3 linked regions of the Macaca mulatta genome follow. The protein of the gene in region 3 purifies or fractionates together with the protein of the main gene of each other region. This does not show direct contact. Links are inferred from orthologs where the notes say so. Each region holds a gene or a part of one and is shown on either strand. Other genes may lie near its edges.

Region 1 (4,110 bases), on a different chromosome or scaffold from region 3:
GAAAGTAGGGGCTTTTGCCCAGGCTGATCTTGAACTCCTGGGCTCAAGCGATCCAACCACCTTGGCCTCTCAAAGTACTGGGGTTACAAGCATGAGCCATTGTGTCTGGCCCTGACTTACTTTCTTTCTTTTTTACTTTTTAGAGAAAGGGTCTCGCTCATGTCACCCAGGCTGGAGTGCAATGGTGCGATCATAGCTCACTGCAGCCTCAAACTCCTGGGCTCAAGCGATCCTCCTCCTCCTACCTAAGGGATTCAGGGCATGAAGGAACACTCAGGAGGAGTTAGGAAGGACACGACAGTGTGTCAGTGTGTGTGCGGGAAGGGTTAGATTTACAAGGCAGAGGGAAGTTTAGAAAGGAAGAGAGAAGGGAAGGGACGCTTTGGCTGGGAGGCAGGTTTAGGAGGGAGGTGCAGTGGTGCAGTGGAGGCGGTAGGTTTAGGAGAGGCGCGGAACAAGGGGAAGCCATAGAAGGGGACAGCAGGGGTCCCTCAGCATCCTCTGGTTGCCTCTAACAATCAGGTACCCTTAGCAGCCGGGACCGGGGCAACTTATGTTCTTTGCAGCGAGGGTCCTTAGCAACCAAGGTGTGAGAAACACGCGATCATTGGCAACTTGGCAAGTGGATGTGGTAAACGAACCCTGAACACCCTGCGACCCAGAAACCCACCAGCCTGGCGATATAGATCGCTTAGCAACAACCCTCAGAACCCCACTCCCCGAGGCGCTCCCTACTTCCCGCCCCACTGCGGCCGCCCTTGGGCCCCGGGGCCTGCAGCCTTCAATCAGGCCCCGGCGCGGCCCGACCCTCCCACCCGGATTCCCGACTCACGGTCCGGCTCTGCCATGGGCGCGGTGCTGAAGCCCTCGAGGCTGTCACCGACCGCTCTGTCCCGTCACCGACCACTGTGTCCCGTCACCGACGGCTCTGTCCTGTCACCGACTGCTCTGTCCCGTGACGGCACCAGAAATGGGAGTGGCCGGGATAGGGCACTGAACTACAACTCCCAGCAGACATTGCGGCCGCAGACGCGCTTTCCTACGACACCCGGAGCGCCCCAGTTAGGTAAGAAAGCGCGCGAGGACCGGACTACGAGTCCCAGAAGTCATGGCGTCAGCAGCCATGTTGGTAAAGGGCGCCCGGAAAATGTGGGAACGGCTAGAGAGTCGTAGTCCTCTCGAATACTCTGATTGGTCAGCATGCGGCACGGGGGCGGGGTGTGAGCGATTCAGCATATTATCATTGGATGAATCAGGGGGCGTGGTGGGGAATTTCCCGCAGGGCGGAAGCGCCAGAACTCCCGGCAAAGCCCAGCTACAGGCGGGCCACTGCGAGGGGCCCCTGAGGTGGCGGGGGCCATGGCTGGGGTCGCGTGCTTGGGAAAAGCTGCCGACGCAGATGAATGGTGCGACAGCGGCCTCGGCTCCCTGGGTCCGGACGCAGCGGCCCCCGGAGGACCGGGATTGGGCGCGGAGCTGGGCCCGGGGCTGTCGTGGGCTCCCCTCGTCTTCGGCTACGTCACTGAGGATGGGGACACGTGAGTGAACTTTAGGCTGCCAAACGGAGCCTTAGGACCCGGCATCTGATTCCCCATTAGTGTCTGATCCCTGAGGCTTCCTAACCTCACACTCCTAAATCTGACTTCCGATGCTGAACTTCCTGACCTCTAACCCCCGAGTCCTAACTTTTAACAAAACCAATCTTCTTTCCAGCTATGATCCTCACCCAATCATTTCTGACCTTTTCCTGAACTATGATTCTCAGCTCCTGGAATCCACGTTGTATCCACTGATACCCAAACCTGACTCCAGTCCTGAGACTTTTGTTAGAACTGTGGCTTCTCCTGACTTCTAACCTCCAAATATGATCTTTGATTCTTAGTTCCTGATTTGAGCCTTAAAGTTTGATTTCCAAAATTAATGCTTGGTCCCTTACTCTAAGATCCTGTCATCTGAGCAGTGTTCTTCAAATCTTAAATTCAAAGAGAGAGAATGTAAGCTCTTCTATGTTGAATTCCTAATTAAAGTAAAAAAAAAAAAAAAAGGAAAATAGAAAAAAAGAATGTAAGCTCCACGAGACCAAGGATCCATCTGTTAAACAAATATTCTTTACACAGTACAACATTCCAGGCTCCGTTTTAGGTGCTAGTGATAAAGGCAGTGGAGAAAACAGACAAAAACTTAAGCGCTTGTGGAGCATACATTTTAGTGGAACTAAATAAACAGATAAGACCGCAAGGAAGGAAAGAAACAGAAAGACAGGAAGAAACAAAGAAAGACACGCAGAAAGAAAGAAACATAGAAAGTAAGAGAAGGAAATAAAGTCAGAGGTAGTAAGTACTTTGGAGAAAAATAAAGCAGGAAAATGAGGCAATAGATAAACAGGATAAGAGCATTTCAGGGAGAAGGAACTGCAGTTGCAAAGCCCAGATGAGGGACTGTACTGGGTTTTTTGTCTGTTGTGTTTTCTGCTGTATGCCCAGTGATGCAAGCAGTGCCTGACCCAGGAGGCACTGAAGAAATATTTATCTTTTCAAAGAACCAGCTTTATAATCTTGTTAATTTTCATTACATTTCATTACTTAATTTTGGTTTCTTTTTTTTTTTTTTTTTTTTTTACTTTTTATATAATTAGTCTCTGTCCTGGCTTTTTTTTTGAGACAGAGTCTCGCTCTGTCGCCCAGGCTGGAGTGCAGTGGCCGGATCTCAGCTCACTGCAAGCTCCGCCTGCCGGGTTTAAGCCATTCTCCTGCCTCAGCCTCCCGAGTAGCTGGGACTACAGGTGCCCGCCACCTCGCCTGGCTAGTTTTTTTTTTTTTTAGTAGAGACAGGGTTTCACTGTGTTAGCCAGGATGGTTTCGATCTCCTGACCTCGTGATCCGCCATCTCGGCCTCCCAAAGTGCTGGGATTACAGGCTTGAGCCACCGCGCCCGGCCGGTTTTTTTGTTTTGTTTTGTTTTGTTTTTTGAAATGGAGTTTCACTCTGTCGCCCAGGCTGGAGTGCAGTGGCACCATGTTGACTCACTGCAACCTCCATCTCCTGGGTTCAAGCAATTCTCCTGCCTCAACCTCCCCAGTAGCTGGGATTACAGGTGCCCACCACCATGCCTGGCTAATTTTTGTGTTTTTAGTAGAGATGGGGTTTCACCATGTTGGCCAGGCTGGTCTCAAACTCCTGACCCCGTGATCTGCCTGCCTCAGCCTCCCAAAGTGCTGGGATTGCAGGCATGAGCCACCATGCCAGGCTGTTCTGACTTTTATTATGTTCATTCTTCTGCTTACTTTGGCTTTAATTTGTTCTTCTTTTTGTAGTTTCTTAAGGTGAAAGTTGAGATCATTGATTTGAGACCTTTCTTTTTTCCTCTTTTCCAGTATAGGTATTGAGTGCTATAAATTTGCTCCTGACTATTGTTTAGCAATATTGTTTTAGCAATATCTCTCAAATTCTGGTATGTTGTGTTTTTATTTTCATTTAATTCAGTATGCTTTATTATTTTTTTGAGTTGGAGTCCACTCTGTTCCCCAGGCTGGAGTGCAGTGGCACAGTTTCCGTTCACTGCAACCTTGTCCTCCTGGGTTCAAGTGATTCTCTTGCCTCAGCCTCCCGAGTAGTTGGGATTACAGGGGGGTGCCACCACCCCCGGATAAGTTTTGTAATTTTTTTGGTAGAGACAGGGTTTCACCATGTTGGCCAGGCTGGTCTCAAACTCCTTACCTCAAATGATCTGCCCACCTTGGCCTCCCAAAGTGCTGGGATTACAGGCATGAGCCACCACACCCGGCCTAATTCAGTATTTTTTTTCTTTTTCTTTTTTTTTTGAGACTGGAGTCTTGCTCTGTCACCAAAGCTGTAGTACAGTGGAATGATCTCAGCTTGCTGCAACCTCTGCCTCCCAGGTTCAAGCAATTCTCATGTTTCAGCCTTCCGCGTAGCAGGGATTACAGGCATGCACCACCACATCCGGCTAATTTTTGTGCTTTTAGCAGAGATGGGATTTCACCATGTTGGCCAGGCTGGTCTGGAACTCCTGACTTAAAGTGATCCACCCACCTCGGCCTCCCAACGTGGTGGGATTACAGGTGTGAGCCACCACACCCGGCCTAAAAAT
Region 2 (4,170 bases), on a different chromosome or scaffold from region 3:
AATACAAAAATTAGCCGGGTTTGGTGGTGTGCACCTGTAATCCCAGCTACTCAGGAGGCCAAGGCAGAAGAATCGCTTGAACCTGGGAGGTGGAGGTTGCAGGGAGCTGAGATCGTACTACTGCGCTCCAGCTTGGGCAACGGGAGAGAAAAGAAAGAAAGGAGAGAAAGAGAGAGAAAGGAGGGAAGGAGGGAAGGAAGGAGGGAAGGAAGGAAGGAAGAGAGGGAGGGTGGGCGGGCACACGAGCCACTCTCTGGGACTTCTGTTACAAATTGTAATGGACTTGATGAAAGTAAGGTGGAGTAAATGAAAACAACATAAAGGGCACAGAACACAGTCCCTAGGACACTTAGTAAATATCAGGTTTTATTATCATTTGGAATGGAGGAAATGGGCACAGACTGGGGACATTCTTTTTTTTTTTTTTTTTTTTTTTTTTTTTGAGACAGAGCCTCACTCTGTCGCCCAGGCTAGAGTGCAGTGGTGGGATCTCCGCCCACTGCAACCTCCACCTCCCGGGTCCAAGCAATCCTCCCACCTCAGCCTCCTGAGTAGCTGGGATTACAGGTGCCTGCCACCACGCCCAGCTACTTTTTCTATTTTTAGTAGAGACGGGGTTTCACCATGTTCGCCAGGCTAGTCTTTAACTCCTGACCTCAAGTAATCCGCCCGCCTTGGCCTCCCAAAGAGGAGTCTTAAATGAATTTCACTGAGGGATTTCAGCAGATTTTCATTACAATATCCACCCTGAAAGTGTAGGGGCCAGAGTTCCACGCTGGTTAAACTCTGTTGCTGTGTGAACTTATACCTGTAATTTCCACCTCTGCACCTCGCATTGCTTGTTTTTAAACTATGAGAATTGAACTCGCGGCCGGGCGCGGTGGCTCAAGCCTGTAATCCCAGCACTTTGGGAGGCCGAGACAAGCGGATCACGAGGTCGAGAAATCGAGACCATCCTGGCTAACACGGTGAAACCCTGTCTCTATTAAAAAATACAAAAAACTAGCCGGGAGAGGTGGCGGGCGCCTGTAGTCCCAGCTACTCCGAAGGCTGAGGCAGGAGAATGGCGTAAACCCGGGAGGCGGAGCTTGCAGTGAGCTGAGATCCGGCCACTGCACTCCAGCCTGGGCGACAGAGCAAGACTCCGTCTCAAAAAAAAAAAAAAAAGAGAATTGAACTCTAAGATCCTCTGAAGTCTAGCAGTCCTGCTGGTCGAACCCCCTTTACTGTTCCTGCCTACACTCTTCCTTCCCTTGACGCCTTCTTTACGTAAAAACTACATTTCCCATGAGCACCCATAGGCGTCCACGTAGCGCAGCCCTCCGCCGTCGCTCGCGCCCTTTATACTCACTTCCGCCCGCCCGCCACTTCTTTTTCTTTCGGCGGAGCGCGGCGGCAAGATGGCCGTGCAAATTTCCAAGAAGAGGAAGGTGAGCCTCTGGGGACTGGGTTCGGGGAACGACTGCGCCGCGAGGGTCAGGGGCTTCTCGGGTGCCACCGCGAGGCCTGCAGCTCCGTGCCCTGCCCTGGGAAGCGGCTTAGGCTTCCTGGCATTCCCACGGGCCGCGGATGGCGGTGGATTGAGTGAGAGGCCCGAGCCAGGCGGGCGCTGTGTGGCCGGGTAAGGGAGAGACAGGTTTTTCTCTGGTTCCGAGTGAAGCGCAGAGAGATGGGGACCAGGCGCCCCTTCTGTCCCGGAGAAGGCGTTTGTGAGCATTTTTTGGTCAATGGAATTAGTAAACGTGGTATTTTGAGGGCGTGTGTCATTTCCCTCATGTCTTATCCCATGGTTTTGGGAAGGGGAGGCAGCAGTGTATACTTGTCTTCTTACTGGTCGAGTCTGGGTACAGTCTGCTGGTCCCACGACCTCAACATGAAGGGTTACTGACGATTGCTTGCTCCGTCTGAGGACCCCGGGAGGAAGCTGCCTCGGATTTAACGCTTTGTTATTCCATGGGAAAGAACTGTGTAAAAATCATTAGCTTTAAAAATAGACAGTTTGTCATTTCGTATACCTACACTTCGATGTTAAAATTAAATCCACAACTCTTGTGAGTTAGGATTTTCCAGCTCTGTTTACAGTTAAAACCACAGGTACCGTAAGGCCAGATAACATGGCTGGGATTCTTTAGACGGTCCAGGTTGTGTCTGCAAGTGAGAGAGCTTATGTTAAGTCCACTATCTATTCTGTTCCTTCACAGTGACAAGTACAGTGTCTTTGCTGTGCTGAGTGAGGTGTAAATAGGCTATTTTAGAGCAGTTTCTTGTTTTGCATGTGGAACTGTTTTAAACCCTTCGATGAAGAGATGATGACGAGTCTGACTTGGGGGTGTTGCCTTCGCCCAGGTTGCCTACTCTGTGCTGCATTCTGTGGCACAGTTTAAAGGGCCCTGGTTGAAGTAACTTCCTAAAGATGACCTAGAGGCATTTGTCTGAGAAGGGTTGCTGCACTCCTGTTGGAACAAGGGTTTGGAACCATTGGTTGGAGGTATTTAGTTTTGGGGAGGGATGCATTGACTAATAAGACACTGGCTCAGGCGAAAGTGAGCCTACACCGATGTCCTAATTTTGAACTTCGCTTTTTTTGGATTAGTTTGTCGCTGATGGCATCTTCAAAGCTGAACTGAATGAGTTTCTTACTCGGGAGCTGGCTGAAGATGGCTACTCTGGAGTTGAGGTGCGAGTTACACCAACCAGGACAGAAATCATTATCTTAGCCACCAGGTAAAACTCACTTGACTGGCCATCACCTATAATTGTTGTAAATGCTAAGTTGGTTTATTCCTTTTTTTGTGTGTGTGAGACAGAGTCTTGCTCTGTCCCGAAGGCTGGAGTGCAGTGGTGAGATCTCTGCTCACTGCAAGCTCCGCCTCCCAGCTTCCTGCCATTCTCCTGCCTCAGCCTCCTGAGTAGCTGGGACTACAGGGGCCAACCACCATGCCCGGCTAATTTTTTGTATTTTTAGTAGATTCGGGGTTTCACTGTGTTAGCCAGGATGGTCTCAATCTCCTGACCTCGGGATCCGCCCACCTCAGCCTCCCAAAGTGCTGGGATTACAGGCATGAGCCACCGCGCCTGGCTGGTTTGTCCTTTGTGAACTTAAGGGGATAGACAGCCAGTGAGTCTGGGCTTAGTGAATGTAATTGCTTCTTAAAAGCTGGATTTTAAGGCCAGGCATAGGATCGCTTGAGCTCAGGAGTTCAAGACCAGCCTGGGCAACATGCGGAAACCCCCTCTCTAAAAAAGATAAGGTTGTGGTGGTGCACACCTGTGGTCCCAGCTATTCCAGAGGCTGAAGCAGGCGATGGCTTGAGCCCAAGAGGTCCAGGCTGCAGTGAGCCATTGGTGTGATCCAGCCTGGGTGACAGAGAGAGACCCTGTCTCAAAAAAAGCTGCATTTTGAAAATTTAACTTTAGTTTTTGTCAATGAAAATTATATGCTTTGTGGCAGAGATTTTGCTACCACATATATATTGCAAGATTTAAAGTTAAATCTAGCATTTGTGAGAGTCATGAATTGTCACTTTTTCCCCGCCCAGAACACAGAATGTTCTTGGTGAGAAGGGCCGGCGGATTCGGGAACTGACTGCTGTAGTTCAGAAGAGGTTTGGCTTTCCAGAGGGCAGTGTAGAGGTGAGTGATTCTGGCGTATGCCAGAGATAATGGCTCTTCAGAATGATAACTTCTAAAAACTGGGAGACTTTGTTCATTACAAATGGACTGATACAACTTTGTTGAAATTCTCTTAATGAATAATGGGCTTAACTTTGTAAGCCTGTTCTGCTAATGGTTGATAGTTAAAGGATTTTACATTCAACTTGGGTATAGAAATGATGCATATGATGGATTGACTGTCCCCATTGGTGTAGTTGGTATGGCCAAAGGAGCCAGGGTGGGAGGGCAAGGAACCTGCACTGTGTGTAGGTGGTAGAAGTGCTTTAGGAATTGAGGGATACTGAAATTATATGCTGTTTGTGATGGTGTTGTGCAGTCTTTTGGCCTCCGTAGGCCACGTTGGAAGAATTATCTTGGGCCACACTACTGGTAGTGCAAAAAATCACGATGTTCAATTTTTGTTGGGCCACAATCAAAGCCATCTCCTGGGCAGCATGCGACCTCTGGGTTGGGCAAGCTTGGTCTAGAAAGTGATGCTTGTGTGACATGCCAAAT
Region 3 (3,500 bases):
CACTTGACTTGAATGTGAAGGCTGCTGTTTCTTGTTATTTTTATAGGCTTTCGAGATACTTTAGAAGTCTCAATGAAAGGACTAAGAGAACTGTTTTAGAAAGAAGCCAGGTGGCTTTGCAAATACAATCTCAGTAATAGCAGGAATGGAAGGCATGGTGTTTGGAATGTTCGACTCCCACGCATGGGCTGGAGCAGTCACAAAAGTCTGAACCAGTCACAGACTGGTGACCACCAGAAGAGGTAGTAGAGAAGAAACCAGTAACTGGGAAAGAATGACCAGTCCCTCTTAATCTTTCTGTTGTTGTTGCTGCCTTTATTGAGCTTTTTCTTGAGTACACTGTCATTATAAATATGCAGCTGGGATAACAAGGTTTCAGGGATTTGGTAGGATTCTTAACAATTCTCCAAATATTATTTCAATAAACAAAGCGAGGCTTTTCAAAAAGTACCATTACCTATACACATCTTAGTTTGCTTGCCCAGAGAGATTCACTCTTAGATGAATCCTCCAGCTACTACAGATTCCAACAGATGACAGCAGCAGGATGGAGCAGCAAATTGTGCTACTTTACCTTATTCACACTAGTTTTCTTGATCGTGCCAGTTAGAGGACTCAATACATTTGAACAATTATTTTTATCTCTAGTCAGCATGCATTATATGATGCTCTTCTTTTTCCCTACCCAGAACAACCTATCATGCAAAAAATCCTGACTTACCTGTCCCCATTCTCATCCTGCACGGCAGTGAGATGGCGCTGGACGGCCAGCAGCATCTTCACGTCTCCTGTCACTGCGTAGTCGAAAAGGGCATTGGCATGCCTCTTTGCAAGCTGCATAGCCTTCTCTAGAAAGAGGTTATCTGTAAGGCAATGACCACAATCATAGTTGAGTGTTCCTACTTTTGTTTTATGGGTATGGCATGCTCAAGGCCAAACTGACCAGCATCAGTGTTCTGACACCTTGACACATCATTTTAGTTGAAAATGCTCTTTCAATGCTTTTGGATTGTGTTGACTAGAAAAAGCAGAATTGGACATTGGGTCACTGACAAATATAGTTAGAGATTGATCTTAAAGAATCTATGTATGGTTTGTTAGAGGAAAAAGTTTAGAAATGTGTTATTTTAAGGGAACAACCATTATCTGTTATTTTAAGGAAAACAATCTCCAAACAATGTTAGATTTTACCATGATTTTAAATCACCAATATCTTGGTGAAATAATCCTTCATTGGGATCTCTACCAATTAGCTTGTTAGGCAATGTGTGAAAAAACACACGTCTCTGCCATAAACAGAGACTTTCCATGAAACACTCATGTTTTTGTAAAGTTTGTTCCATTAAGGTCAGGGAATGGCAGTTGTGACCTTTGGGCCAAAACCTGTTTATGCTCGGCTTTTCATATAGCTCCCTAGCTAATCATGGCTTATACATTTTTAAAGGGGTGTAAAAAAAAGGCATATGTGATAGATACCACATGTGGCCACCAACTCTAATTGCTTTTACAGATGTCTTCTTAGTACGATCTAGGATGACCTAGAATCATGACACATATGCTAATAAGTATTGGTTCAGAGTAAACGCAAAAGTACATTTTCTCCTAATCCTACTTGTTCAAAGAGGGCAACAAGATAAAAAGAAAAGTTCCTATTTTAAGGCAAAGTTCTATTTCAGTATGATGGTTAAGCCAGAATCTAGAGAGGGTGACTATTAAGCTTGTAGAAATACTTCTCTATCTGTGCCAGAAAAGAAGTTGATTATCTCTCACAATACCCTAAAACTGCATGATTGTGACTGGAGAATGTACATGTAAATTTCTGTACTTTACATTCAAAGATAACAGAGCAAAAATGGAAATCCCAGTGTGAATAAAATGATCTGACATATGCTCTTCCAAAGACATACAGAACTTTGAAGAGTACGCTAAACTAGATATTGATATGTCATCTTCAGATTAGCAGATACTTTTCTACACCTAGGACTGACCCCTCCCCAGCCAACCAATAGAACGTAATTTGTGTGCTCACTTACCCTGAACCCTAGCACTCTCTTCTTTTGCTCTTGTTGCATACGTTAGAGTGACCTCACCATTCCCATCAGTGGCCTCGCTGGGCTCCTGATTGTGCTCTGTGGTTTCAATGACTTTCCCAAAGAGGTTTACAGTGTTTCTGTCATCACTTCTGTCACAACCTTCAGAGTCCTTTTTAGATTCAGTGTCCATGGTTCCTAAGAAAAATGTAAAAACATCAGATTTTTCTCAGTAAAATGTATTAATTTAGTGATAATTCACTATTCCAATGCAGGTCAGATAAAGGTAAGAGGCAAGTTTGCTGCAAAAGGAAAAGAAAAATAATAATTTAAAATTCTTTTAAAAATGGTCATATCATAAATACCATGTTTTGGAGATACTCTAAACTCAATTCTAAAAACCATTTTTAGTATACTTCTAAAATCTTAGATCTCATTTTGCTTATTTACTTGTAAAGGAGAAAAATGAAATAAAGCTCTTCTGTCAATTGCAGAAAAGTTGAATTTTTAAAGTTCTTGAAAGCAGAGCAGTTTTTTCCTAACGCTAATGAACAAAGCAAGTCATAAAGACGTGTTGTCAATTCACATTCTTTAGTATGGGAGCTATCCAGTGTAGCATTCCTGATCATCCTCTTTCAGGTTCAACTATGTTATCTGACAGACACTATGAGAGCATCTAGCTTTTATAGTGGAGACCTGCTTCAAATTCTTGTTCTGCCACTAACTTCTGTGTGCCTTCAGTGAGTATAAACATTTCTGAACTTTGGTGTCTTTTGTGTGCAAAATGGAGATACTATTTTCCATATAGTGCAGTCATGAAGATAACAGTTAAAACATGTAAAAGCACTTGGCACAAAAATAGGTATTCAATAAATGGGAAGACTTCTTTATAGTATTATTTCTTCCATGGGTACACTAGAATGGACCTGTAATGTAAACTATCAACACGTGGTTTAACTGCAGCTTCTCAGGTGATGACTTGATGGGAAAAGACAAACCCTATAAAACTCAAAATGATTTCAGAAGTGTACTATTTGAGAAAACGAGAGACAGAAGACATAAGTTTGGTGATGTTTAAAACGTTTGAATAGTCAGGTCTCTGTATATCTCTTTTCAATGCTCTTTTCTTTCCTCTGTTCATGCCACTTACGAAGGAAATATATAAAATATAAACAAGGAACAGAGTTTATACTAGCCACAGGAAATAATATCTTTTGGAAAAAGTATCTTCTCAGTTTATTTGCATTAATCAATTATTTTTCAAGACAATAATACTGTTGTGATGGATTTAAAAATTTTTTTTTAAATCTATTTTTTTTAGGATTATTTTTTTCCTTTCTTGGTATTAAGAATAAAGCATTACTTACCATGCTTCATCCCAGCATTAGATTTAGTAGTTCCAGGATGGAAGGTAATCCCACCATAAGTAGGAAATCCATAGTGTGGGAAGCTATACCCTGAAATGGCAAG

What was found.
Region 1: the proteins of NFKB1 (region 3) and NFKBIB purify together in Homo sapiens (affinity purification with mass spectrometry; 7 studies listed by BioGRID and IntAct, counting the BioPlex papers as one, with this or other methods). This does not show direct contact. The link is inferred for Macaca mulatta from reciprocal best matches to the Homo sapiens genes NFKB1 and NFKBIB.
Region 2: the proteins of NFKB1 (region 3) and RPS3 purify together in Homo sapiens (affinity purification with western blotting; 3 studies listed by BioGRID and IntAct, with this or other methods). This does not show direct contact. The link is inferred for Macaca mulatta from reciprocal best matches to the Homo sapiens genes NFKB1 and RPS3.

Annotation. Positions count from the first base shown.
Region 1 is NC_133424.1:49,994,381-49,998,490, forward strand, and holds the start of NFKBIB (NF-kappa-B inhibitor beta), read left to right. Parts: upstream 1-1,310; 5' UTR 1,311-1,359; coding exon 1,360-1,538; intron 1,539-4,110. Other genes in the region: SIRT2 (NAD-dependent protein deacetylase sirtuin-2), read right to left, coding at 833-848. UniProt on the Homo sapiens protein: Inhibits NF-kappa-B by complexing with and trapping it in the cytoplasm.
Region 2 is NC_133419.1:75,815,550-75,819,719, forward strand, and holds the start of RPS3 (small ribosomal subunit protein uS3), read left to right. Parts: upstream 1-1,370; 5' UTR 1,371-1,400; coding exon 1,401-1,430; intron 1,431-2,293; exon of another isoform or gene 2,294-2,441; intron 2,442-2,593; coding exon 2,594-2,724; intron 2,725-3,539; coding exon 3,540-3,633; intron 3,634-4,170. UniProt on the Homo sapiens protein: Component of the small ribosomal subunit. The ribosome is a large ribonucleoprotein complex responsible for the synthesis of proteins in the cell. Has endonuclease activity and plays a role in repair of damaged DNA.
Region 3 is NC_133410.1:111,956,299-111,959,798, reverse strand, and holds part of NFKB1 (nuclear factor NF-kappa-B p105 subunit), read right to left. Parts: intron 3,488-3,500; coding exon 3,398-3,487; intron 2,229-3,397; coding exon 2,034-2,228; intron 864-2,033; coding exon 722-863; intron 1-721.